Linked DNA regions of Oryctolagus cuniculus. The protein of the gene in region 3 binds, or shares a complex with, the protein of the main gene of each other region. Links are inferred from orthologs where the notes say so. Each region holds a gene or a part of one and is shown on either strand. Other genes may lie near its edges.

Evidence for each region. The genes of interacting proteins can lie anywhere in the genome.
Region 1: PHLDB2 (region 3) and PPFIBP1 share a complex: the UniProt entries of both Homo sapiens proteins name them as parts of the cortical microtubule stabilization complex. The link is inferred for Oryctolagus cuniculus from reciprocal best matches to the Homo sapiens genes PHLDB2 and PPFIBP1.
Region 2: PHLDB2 (region 3) and PPFIA1 share a complex: the UniProt entries of both Homo sapiens proteins name them as parts of the cortical microtubule stabilization complex. The link is inferred for Oryctolagus cuniculus from reciprocal best matches to the Homo sapiens genes PHLDB2 and PPFIA1.

Annotation. Positions count from the first base shown.
Region 1 is NC_091440.1:124,821,247-124,824,746, reverse strand, and holds part of PPFIBP1 (liprin-beta-1), read right to left. Parts: intron 3,223-3,500; coding exon 3,072-3,222; intron 2,403-3,071; coding exon 2,291-2,402; intron 2,185-2,290; coding exon 2,096-2,184; intron 1-2,095. UniProt on the Homo sapiens protein: May regulate the disassembly of focal adhesions. Did not bind receptor-like tyrosine phosphatases type 2A.
Region 2 is NC_091432.1:2,321,229-2,324,728, forward strand, and holds part of PPFIA1 (liprin-alpha-1), read left to right. Parts: intron 1-818; coding exon 819-887; intron 888-1,621; coding exon 1,622-1,787; intron 1,788-3,500. UniProt on the Homo sapiens protein: May regulate the disassembly of focal adhesions. May localize receptor-like tyrosine phosphatases type 2A at specific sites on the plasma membrane, possibly regulating their interaction with the extracellular environment and their association with substrates.
Region 3 is NC_091435.1:67,777,535-67,781,832, reverse strand, and holds the start of PHLDB2 (pleckstrin homology-like domain family B member 2), read right to left. Parts: upstream 2,801-4,298; 5' UTR 2,664-2,800; intron 1-2,663. UniProt on the Homo sapiens protein: Seems to be involved in the assembly of the postsynaptic apparatus. May play a role in acetyl-choline receptor (AChR) aggregation in the postsynaptic membrane.

The sequences.
Region 1 (3,500 bases), on a different chromosome or scaffold from region 3:
ATCTAAGACTGAGACATCCGTTCCAAACATTGCATTGAAGGTTTTCATCTACTACTGTTTTTTTTTTTAAATCTGAGTGTATAATGATTATAATGCAAATAAAGTATTAACCTTTGGCAAAATGCTTATAATTTGAAAGAGTTTAAAAGGAGGGATTCCTTTATCATGCACTTAAGTCTAGAAAGATTTTGTTTAAATATTTTTAAAATGTTTGGATTTTTAAGAACTTTGTTTTAAAACAATTTGATATATAGAAAAGATGCCAAAGATGGTATAGTTGTAAGTATACCTTTCCCTTATCAAAACTAAGAAATTAATACGGATAATAATACAATCAACTAAACTACAGACTTCATTCCAGCTTCACCAGTTCTTCTGCTAGAGCCCTTTTTCCGTCCCAGGACTTAATCTGGGAGACCATATTAAAACAAATTTTTGATTTAGAATGTCTGGGGTCAAATTTCCCAAGCCAGTTTATTCTTTTTTTTGGGCCACACAAACTACCCATGTGCTTCCTGTGGTTTTAAGCCTGTTCCGCTGATATTCTGAGAGGAACACACTCACACCTAGATAGGCAGGCAAATATTTGCTGAATTTGTTCCACATGGAACAGTGAGCTATTATGAGCAGGGATCTGAACAGAGCTTGGATTTAAACCCCTATGGCTTACTACCACTTTCTAACTGTGGAAACGCAGTTTACCTAATCTATCAACTCCTTTGTTTCCTGGTCTAAAAGTGCGGACAATAATAGAACTAACCAAAAAGGGTAAGAATTGAGTATGAACATGAGTAAAATGCTCAGAAGTCCATCTGGCACGCTATGACATGCAATATACAACACCTAATGGCATCACCACACACACGGGGGGTACGATGGGCCCAAAGAGAAGGACTCTGGTTCAATGACAAGAGAAAGAAACAAATCTCAGGAGCTGAACTCCAAATGTCTCTCTCCTTCTGTAAAGTTCATGCCCATTTATTTATGAGAGAGAAAGAGAGACAGACAGATAGAGAGACAGAGTTCCCATCTGCTGGTTCACTCTTCAAATGCCCTCAGCAGCTTTGGGGCTGGGGTTAGGAGCCAGGAACTCCATCCAGGTCTCCTAAGTGGGTGGCAGGAACCCAATTACTTGAACCATTATTGCTGCCTTCCAGGGTCTGAATTTGCAGGAAGCTGGAATCAGGAACTGCAGCTGGGACTAGAATCCAGGCACTCTAATATGAGACAAGGGGATATAAACTGTTAGATCAAATCCTTGCAACCCTAACTTTGTTCGATATTGAGAAATGCATACTTAAGCTAGATGGTTGAAACTTTCTACATATTTCAAGAGGACTGTGATGGTTTGGCACAAAGCCAAGCTCAAAAGGGGCTATTTAAACAAAGAGATCTTAAGAACATCAGTAGTGCCATGGAATCTAGAACAAGGTTTCCAGGGATTCATCCCTCCCACTGCTGTTAAATAGGGAAGAGTCTTCCCACTCACTGGCTGCAAGGCTAGAAAATGCACACGAATGAGAGAACGAAGGAACCAGAGTGGAACTCTAGCTTCCCTCTTCCTTTACCCCAGTCCCAGCGGCTATAGCAGAACTGGGCTGCCAGGAGGAGGGTGAGACTTTTCAGTAACAGCGGTCCAACACGGCAGGGAAAGGCGAAAGGATGTCAGGTACGAAGGGGAACTCTTCCGAGCAGTCAGTGCATAGGACGATGCAGAACCCGCGAGCTGCCAAAGCTTTAAAACTCAGCCTTCTATTTTTAAAATATCTTTATGAGAAATAATTCACACCATAAAATTCACCCACGGCACACACTTCCACGTTTACACTGCTGAATATGTAAGAAATCAACTTTCTGGACAGCTCAGGGTACATTAGCCTACACAGGGATTTCATGGCATCCTAAGGCTGTTGCAAACACCAAATCCTGCAACGTCAACCTCACGGGAAATACTCCTGCCCACTCCTCAAGGTAAAGCGACACCTTCAAATTCTGTTGGAGTCATTCTGGAAACACAGTATGTCCCTGACTGCATTTCTGTGCTTTCGGACAGAAAACAACTTTCCTCCCCTAAAGCCCAGAGTGAATCACTTACAACGGTCATGTAATGCAGCATCCGACCATCAACCAGTCCTTCATCAAACTGGGTCTTATACTGGGGGAGGCCGATATCATCCAGCCATCCTGAAAGGGAGTAACAGTGTCGTTACGGGGCCCAGGAACACCCATTCCTGTGAGCACCCCGAGAAGGCAGCAATGCTGATTTTTTTAAACAACGAAACCCTCTTACTAGTGACCCAGTTGAAATCCAGCTTCCCGTGGTTGGTTTCTTCCTCTGATCCCAGGGCTTGCAGTGCCAGCTGCAGCTTCTTTCGATGAAGTGAATGCTTGATCCCAAGTTCCTGCGACGAGAAACAGCAGCCCTGACTTTATAACTCTATCCACAAGGGCTGGGCGCCACTGCCCAGGGATGCAGACTCCTAGCATCAAAGACCCAATTCCAAACGCAAGGACAATACTAACTGGGACAAATCAAATGTTGCTGAACAAAAGACCCCCTAGGAAGCCAAGACCGCTGTAATTAGTGCAATGGGCTGCGAAGACATTCCTCAGTGACTCATTTTCTTTGCAAGACAGAAACTGCAGCTTGCCTAAGAGCAATTTTACTCTTTTTTGTGCAAAATGCTACTTGATTGGGAAGAAATGTCCAACACTCGGACGTAAAATGCAGGGCACTATTTTTCTCCTTTGCAATGTGAAGTAGAATTCCACAATGAGAAGATAAAGTCACAAAGCGAGTTTCAGAGATCAGAGTTTAAGGTTATTACAGCTATAGCATTATTTTTCATGTAAACATTTAGCCATTTCTAAGCATCCCATGAGGACGCATCAAGACCAGCTTCTTCCTCTAAGTTCAGGAGATAAGATGAGAAAGCAGCAGCCGGGAACCCACACTTTTGCAAGAGTATGTACTGGCTCCACCCACACCACTTTCTGGAACGGAAGACAACCCCACCTTCCACGTGCTTTCTCTTAGGGTCCGATCGTAAACCAAACAGGGAAGCAATCACCTTTTCTAGATCTTGCTGAGAAGCTTGCAAAAGTGTTTGGCCAGATGCAATCCAGTGCTTGCCGGAACTCAGGTAGGAGCCCAAGCCCTGTTCCACAAGCCAGTTGCAAACTTGCTCCTTGGTCCACTTGGCAAATGGCATATCCAAGTCACTACAGGAAAATGAACAGCCGCATGAAAAGCAACTCGAGGCCAATCCATGGCTTATCACCAGTTTCGACCAAGTGTGCATTCAGTAGGTACGGACACTCCCTGGAGGTACTGCTTGTTTGTTAGTGTCTAGTTGAAGGCAGAAGTCACACTGGAGTTGAAAATTACTCTAAGACCACTCGCTTTCTATCTAATGATACCACAGAAGATTCAACGTCCTTCCAAAAGAACGTGTTTTACGGAAAACCATGGAACTGAACCAACATAAGCCCCTGTACCC
Region 2 (3,500 bases), on a different chromosome or scaffold from region 3:
GCTGCAGGCAGCGGCTTCACCTGCTGTGCCACCATGTCGGCCCCCTTGCCCTGCTTTTCCCGGGTGCATTAGCAGGGAGTGGATGTGAAGTGGAGCAGCTGGGACTCGAACCTGCGAGGACTGCTGGTGGTGCAGCTGCACTTAACCCATTGCTCCACAGCTGTGCCCTGGAACCCTGCAGTAGACAACATCAGGAGAACCTTCCCTTCCGGTCCAGGCGCTTGTCAGCGTGGAATCTTTAGTTCTTAGGTGAAAGAAAGTATTTCCAGGTGTGCCACATGGAGATTCTGTTAACTGTGCTCTGGGAGTAAGGGACTGTGTAACTCTCTTTGACTTAGGGGCCCATTTGAAAACCGGGACACTTTAAAGCCTGATTTAAAATACTGTTATGTAGTGGGTAAAGCGGGTAAAGTGCCAGCATCCCATTTGGGCGTCGGTTCGAGTCTCGGCTGTTCCACTTCTATCCCGCCTCTGCTGTGGTCTGGGAAAGCAGTAGAAGATGGTCCAGGTCCTTGGGCCTCTGCACCCATGTGGGAGCCCCGGAAGACACTCCTGGCTCCTGGCTTCAGATTGGCGCCGCCCCAGCCGGTGTGGCCAGTTGGGGAGTGAACCAGCGGATGGAAGACACCCTCCCCCAACCTTTCCTTCTCTCTCTGTGTAACTCTGACTTTCAAATAAATAAATGTTGGAAAAAAAGTACTATTATGGGCAGTGAATAAGCTTTTTAAGTGTCGTGGTTTAAAAGGCAGTTGTGGTGTGCTGACATCAGTCGGGTTGGAGTGATGTAAGTTTTGCTGGTGGTTGCTCTGTGATTTCAGGCCCGAGCTGTCTTGGAAAGAGAATTTAACAACCTTCTGGTCATGGGGACTGACCGGCGGTTTGATGAAGTAAGTTTCTGGTCTGATGTTTTTGAAATTTGTGTAAGATGTAACTTCCTTTATTACTCTCAGGGCAGCCACATAGCAAGGCCGTCTCTTCTCAAACTGGAGATAAATTTACTTGAGTTTAGCTTCGCTCTCCCAAATTCACAGCAAAAGAACCATTAAGAAACCAACATTTTCATGACACAGTTTTCTCTTCATTTTTGCCGTTAAATGTTCACACCTCTTTAGACTGATCCTCAGAGTGGAAACACTGGCTGCAGTCTGGGGCTGGGGCCTGGGTGTTGTGTTTCGGGGCAGCTGGGGTCCTGTGTCCCGGGCTCAGGGCTGCTGTGTCCCGGAACAACGTGAGTTTCTTCCTGTTTCACCCACTTATTCCCATTCTTCCTCGGCACTCAGTGAGGCTCCGGTTTGCCAAGGAGAATATAGAACCCATGTCTGCAGAGAAAGCTGGCATCACACAGACTTGTTTATGTTTTGACAACTCTTAGGACAAGCACAGCGCTCTGTCAGGAACGTGCTCTCTGTGCGGCGAGACAGGAAACGTGGCGACAAGTTAGCAGAGTGCTCGGGAGGATCCTGGGGCCGGCCCAGTCAGGAGCATGACCCTGCCCTTGACCCTGAAGTCTACCTGGTCATGCGGAAGGGGGTGCAGGCACAGAGAAAGCACAGGTTCCTGAGTCAGCACTGTCTGTCCTTCCTTTTTATATGCATTTCACTTCCTGTTCTTTCATCTCCAGGACGATGACAAGAGCTTTAGGAGAGCGCCTTCCTGGAGGAAAAAGTTTAGACCAAAGGACATTCGCGGCCTGGCTGCTGGGTCAGCAGAGACGCTGCCTGCAAACTTCCGTGTGACTTCCTCCATGTCTTCACCCTCTGTGCAGCCCAAGAAGATGCAGATGGACGGTACGTGGGGCCTCGCTCTGCGCCTCTGGGCGGGAGCTTGCGCGGTCTTGTGTCTGGGACATGAGTGGTCCGCAGCCGCCTGCGTCTGGGAGGGTGGTGCATGCTCTGATGTAACTGCCGCCAAGTTCTTGCTAACGTTTGCTATGCAGAGGTAGCGATGAGGCCCTCAGGCCACTCCCGTCTGTTGGGTCAGCGTGAGGAGCTCAGGTCCTCAGGTGTGCACCGGGCAGCACCGGCGGCTCCCTCGTGCCGTGGCAACGTGGCAGCCTCACACTACGTGACTTACATGGTTCATACCCAGGGCTTCTCTCCACCCTAATTTATTTGTTCATTTGAAAGACAGAGTTACGGGGAGGGGAGACAGAGTGGGAGAGAGAGAGCGAGCTTCCATCCACTTGTTCACTCCCCAAATGACCGCAACAGCCAGAGCTGGGCCTGACCAGAGCCAGGAGCTTTTCCAAGTCTCCAATGCGGGTGCAGGGGCACAAGCACTTGGGCCATTTTCTACTGCCTTCCCAGGTGCAGCAGGACTCGAACCAATGCCCATGTGGAATGCCAGTGCTGCAGGTGGCGACCTAACCCACTACACCACAGCGCCGGCCTGACTGCGTACATTTTAAATAGCACACAACTTCCTGCTTTAAAAGAAATTTGCTGGCTTATTTGAAGCAGAGGGGCAGTTCCCGCTTCTGTGAGGAGGTTTTCTGCTGTTCCGTGGCGTGCACGAGGGCAGGGAGGCAGAGGGTGAGCCTCGGGAAGTTGGCGGTGGCTCCAGCGGGCCCGAGAGCACCCCCAGGGCACTTGGCCCAGCACAGGCGAGAGCTGACAGTTGCTCTGCCTTGGCTCCATGACTGAGAGCCCGCCTGCCAGGGCTTGCGGCGGGCTCTGCCTCCAGTGGTGCGTGGCCTCGAGTGAGCCGTGGACAGTGCCTTCACAGGAGCGTCTTCCTCTCAGGGTGTCTGAGTATTAAATGAGCCGTCCAGGAACTGGCCCTCTGTCGGCTCTCACAGGCCCTTGAGGGAGCCCCGCTGTCCGGGGGGCAGCGCCCCTCCCGCTGGAAAGCTGTGCCCATGGGGTTTTAGAGTTTTTTCTGTCGTCAGCCCCTCCCTGAAGTAGGTTTGTAAATTTCACTCTCACTAGCCTGTGTAGGAATCCGAGAAATGTACATTTATATAAAGTCTTATTAAGCTGAGCACTTTTAAGTGAGGGTGGCTTACTTTTTAATAAAAAGGGTTTGTGTGCTTTGTTTTGCCCAGTTGGATACTATACTTGGGAGAGGGGGAATTACTTAGTGTCTTTTAATTAGCAACTTTTTAGAAAGTAGCATTTTCCCTCCAATGGGACCTGCGCGTAATTCTTATAAATCTGAACTCTGACTTGGCCTCTAACTTTGTCTCTGTGGACTCACTGAGTTTTCTGAATGGAGTTATTTTCCCTGTGGCTTCGATTTGTTTTCTTCATAAACTACATCTCCCCGTTAGACATTGCAGCAGCCGGCGCCGCGGCTCACTAGGCTAATCCTTCGCCTGCAGCGCCGGCACACCGGGTTCTAGTCCCGGTTGGGGCGCCGGATTCTGTCCTGGTTGCCCCTCTTCCTGTCCAGCTCTCTGCTGTGTCCAGGGAGTGCAGTGGAGGATGGCCCAGGTGCTTGGGCCCTGCACCCCATGGGAGACCAGGAGGAAGCACCTGGCTGCTGGCTTTGGATCGGCGCAG
Region 3 (4,298 bases):
TGATGCAGTCCCTCTTTGCAATGCCTCACACTCTTGAAGTATGCATGAGGCAAGTCCATAAAAAAAAGGAAAGCCCTCATGCAAGGGTGTTTAGCCAACCACCCGTCACAGTGGTGTTTCTTAATCTTGATTATGTAAAGGCTTGGGCATTGTGTCTGTTTGGAAGTTCTGCCAGACAATCCATGGACATTTTAGGATGCATTTGAAAGAAGTGAACCTGGGAGGAAGAGGGGGAGGAAGACTTGCTGCTGTAGTTTACTCATTTACAGCTTAAATGACATCATCAAGCTATTTGGATTCCAAGCCAACCTGGGTCTCTTTGAATTGCAATAGCTGGGAGCCTTGAAATGATGGACTGCTGATGGTTCCTCTTGCTTTAAGCCTCCTTTCGCCCAACTGGGATATGGATGAGTGGACATCTAATAATGAAATTCTTGAGTTCTCAGGGGAGGGTAGGGATGGAGTCCATTCTTTCTCTGGATCCGGTTCAGGTGCGGTATTTTAGTTGGGGCTCATGAATTTGAGTCTAGAGAAAACACAGGGCCCAGGATCTAGCTTGAGAATTCACTAGGTTTACTGGGAAATATCCAGGACTGACACGAGTCCAGAGATAGTCACCATTACAAACACGTCCCTTTACTTCCTGCCAGTTTGTGCTTTTAAGTCCCCTAGAATCAGGTCCACTCCAGTCAAACGGTGGTCTTTTGGTGACAGTGGCACTCACCTGGCCTTAGGCCTGGCACATCCAGAGGCCAGTGGAGAACTTCTAACTCTATTAGTGAGACTTCCTTATCCCGTTGACCTTTAGCGTCTCCATGTGTTCAACTCCATTGCCTCATGAAGCAATGGGTTGGCAACAAGGCAGAAATGAATAGAACCAGGGGTCAGCCTTGGAGTAACTGCATGAATCGGGGCAAATTAATTAATGTCTGTGTTCTAACTTTCCAGCATTTAAAGAGAATAACAATGCCCATTTAATCAAGTCCATCTCAGGGATAGTCTCTTCCTATCTAATTTACAATGTATACGAAATGGGAAGAAGAGCTGGATAGAACCGCAGGGTTTTCCTTTGTGGTTTTGGCTTTGAGCCAGGCTGCACAGGAAGGAGAGTGCAGTTGTGTGTGCGAGTCCCTAAGGCAGCCTAAAGCATAGTAAGTAAATTTGGCCTATGTCTTGAATGCCCCAAGGCTCTGTGCTCCCTTCAAAACCACCTCCAGCACTTGCATGATGTACAGCATATTCCAGTTTCCAGCCAGACACACAGTTAATATTCTGCAGGACTTAATATCTGCACAGCATTTCGTAATTGTCCATAACATTCCTGCAAGGTTGCCACAGACTTGTCCCAAATCACACAAGTTGCAATGTGTCTGCAGTGACCTCAGCTCCTGCATCTGGTTAACTACCTCAGCCACTAAAAATTCCAGCTAGAGACCTTACCTGAAGGGATTCACTTAAGTTCCATAAATGATTGACAACAATCAAACATGACCTTGTCTAATATGTGATTCAATCCCTTACCCCAAGGGACTTCAGGAAAAAAGGGCCTCCCTATCACTAACAACTATAAGATCCAAGAGCTATAGCACACGCTTGGCAGGTATACATGATGACAATATGACAATGTTTCTGCAATTAAAGAAGTTACCTTCAGACCTAAAGAAGAGGAGGCCATGTTTGGTTCAAATAACATATTTACAAAATGTGTAGGCCTGAAGAGAAAGACTTCACTTTTTTGATAATTACTCCATAGCCTTATTCTCCATCAGAATCCCTTAATAACTTGATCCTTAGTTAGACCACTTTCTTCCATATAGACCTCCACTGACAGGCAAAGTGCTCTCTAAAGCCACAATGTTTTATCCTAGTGATATGAAGTCTCAGGTTTGTGCATGAGTCTTGCTGAACTGGGAGGGACCTTGTGGGGTTTACTCCTCGGGTTAGGATACAAACTAACTTGATCAGAGGAGAATATGGGGTAAAGCCTCAGAGAATGTTGCTTTGATGTTGCCATGTGTATTCTGTGGAGGGGATCAGCTGGTGGTCTTCTGTCAAAGGTAGGAAAGAGCCCTGCCCCGGTAAATGATTGACCTGGCTGCCTGGTCTGATAAGCCTGGGTAAATAGGCTTGATTCTGCTCCAGTAATTTCAGGACTTTTAACTCCTTTGGTACCAAAGCAAGCAGGCCAATGGCTCCCTGGGAAATCCCATTATTTGAGATTGACAGCGCCTGAATAGACAGCGTGTTTCTCAGACTTGTCTGTACACTGTCCTCTCTGCTATATCTTGAAAGCAAGAAGAACTCATGCAAGCAAAATTCTAGAATGAAGACATGTTTATAAAGCTACCCAAAGTGGAAAAATTCCAATAAGCCACATGTATGCTTTCAAACCATGAAAGAGAATAAACCTACAGAATTTTCAAAATACATAGAAGAGCAACAACAGCAATTTTTAGAGGAGCAAGAACGAGGAAGGAAAATTCAACCTAGTTTCCAGAATTCGCTGATGGTCAGATGATTGAATTCTGTGAACACCCGCCCCAACTCCCATCTACCACATCTCCTGAAGGAGACGGCCGGCAGAGACACTGTAGTTACAGGGCTAGCTAAGGAGCTTGTTTGCAATCTGGAGAGAAGGTCCAGTGGCCAGCCTGATCCCTTACCTTGATTGCTGCTTTGTATTTCAGATTCTTCCTTCTTTCCTTCCTGATTCAACAGGGATGGTCCACAGTTCTCCCAATCCTCTCTGAAGAGTTTCGGATGTGGGGAGGAAGCAACCACACAGGCTCCAGCTTTTCCCCAAGCATGAAAATGAGCTGTTCCCTTCTATCTCTTTCCTGCTCTCTGGCCGCTGCAGCCAGTGGTCACAGGCAGCAACTTGTTCGCAGCCAGGTATGTTGACAGATGTGAAGGAGGGAGTGTGCGCTGGTCTCAGCTGCCTGGTGCAGCCAATCATTGCACACCAGGCCAGGCTTTTTGCCCTGATCAAATCTCAGCAGACAAATCAGATACCAGGGCTGTAGAGGGCAAAGGGCAGAGCCTGATAACTGTTGATTATCCAAAAAGTGATTACCTTGTGATTGGCTCCATCAAGATGGTAAGAGGTCCTGCTAATAACATGGAGGAAAATGTTACTCCCATTTTCAGCTCGGAAGGGAGTTTGGAGGTCACTTGATCAACTCTCTCCTTTGGTAGTAGGGTCTCTTCCACTGAGTTCTTTGCTGCTGAGACTCCTCATCTGGCAGTTCTTTGAATTAATAGGGCTGCATTTCCTGGGTGTACTGTGTGTTACACATTTCATATCCATGAATGAAAATCCTTGTGACAACTTTGGGATTGCATTTCTATTTTATGAATGAAGGAACAAAGTCTCAACGAAGGTAATGATCATGTACCTTGTGGGTGCTGAAGTCAGATTTTGAACTCAGATCTCTGAAACCAGTGCATCGGTAAACACTTCCTGATATATTCTGTGGTAGGTTGACTAACAGGCCCAAAGAATGTCCACCTCTCAGTCTTCAGACCCTGTGGATATATTACATTATGTGGTGAAAGGGACCTGGCTGGTCCCCATTCGAGTTAGGAGCCTTGAGACAGGAGACTATGTTGGATTATCCAGGCAGGCCCAGCATAAGCACAGAGTCCTCAGCAGACGTCAGAATCGGAGATGTGAGGATGGAAGCAGAGTCGCAGATGGAAGGTGCTGTGCTGCTGAAATGAAAGATGGAGGAAGGGGGCGTGACTCAAGAAGCTTCTAGAAGCTGGAAGGGCAGGGAAATGGATTCTCCTTTAGGGCCTCCACAAAGAAAATTACCTGATGACCCATTTTAGACTTCTGACTCCAGGCCCGTGCTGTTGTGAGCACGGTAAGCAACCGCATCTGTGGTGGTTTGGCACAGTAGTGGTAGGGGACTAATACACCCTCCCTCAGAAATCCTCGCCTGCCTAGGCAGTGTCTCACTGCGCAGCCATGCATTCTTGAAATGACAACTCATTGGTTCTAGCACACTGCCCCGCCCCCGCTCAGGAGGCAATGGAAAACCGAGGGAAATAGAAACAGTGCTGGGAAGGCTCTCAGAGCCAGGATTGTGGACCCAGCTCTGCCTTGAGCAGGCAGTTCTCTTTGGGTTTGCTCTCCTGTACCATTAGTCCTTCGCCCAGCTTTTCCTTGATCTCTGCCACATATAAAGGCACAACATTCTAAAATCTTAGTTGTGTAACAAGTTGAACATATTTGAAGACATTGCTATAAACTTTCTCTCCATTTTTCCTGTTCCAACCCACGCAGTGTCCCATGT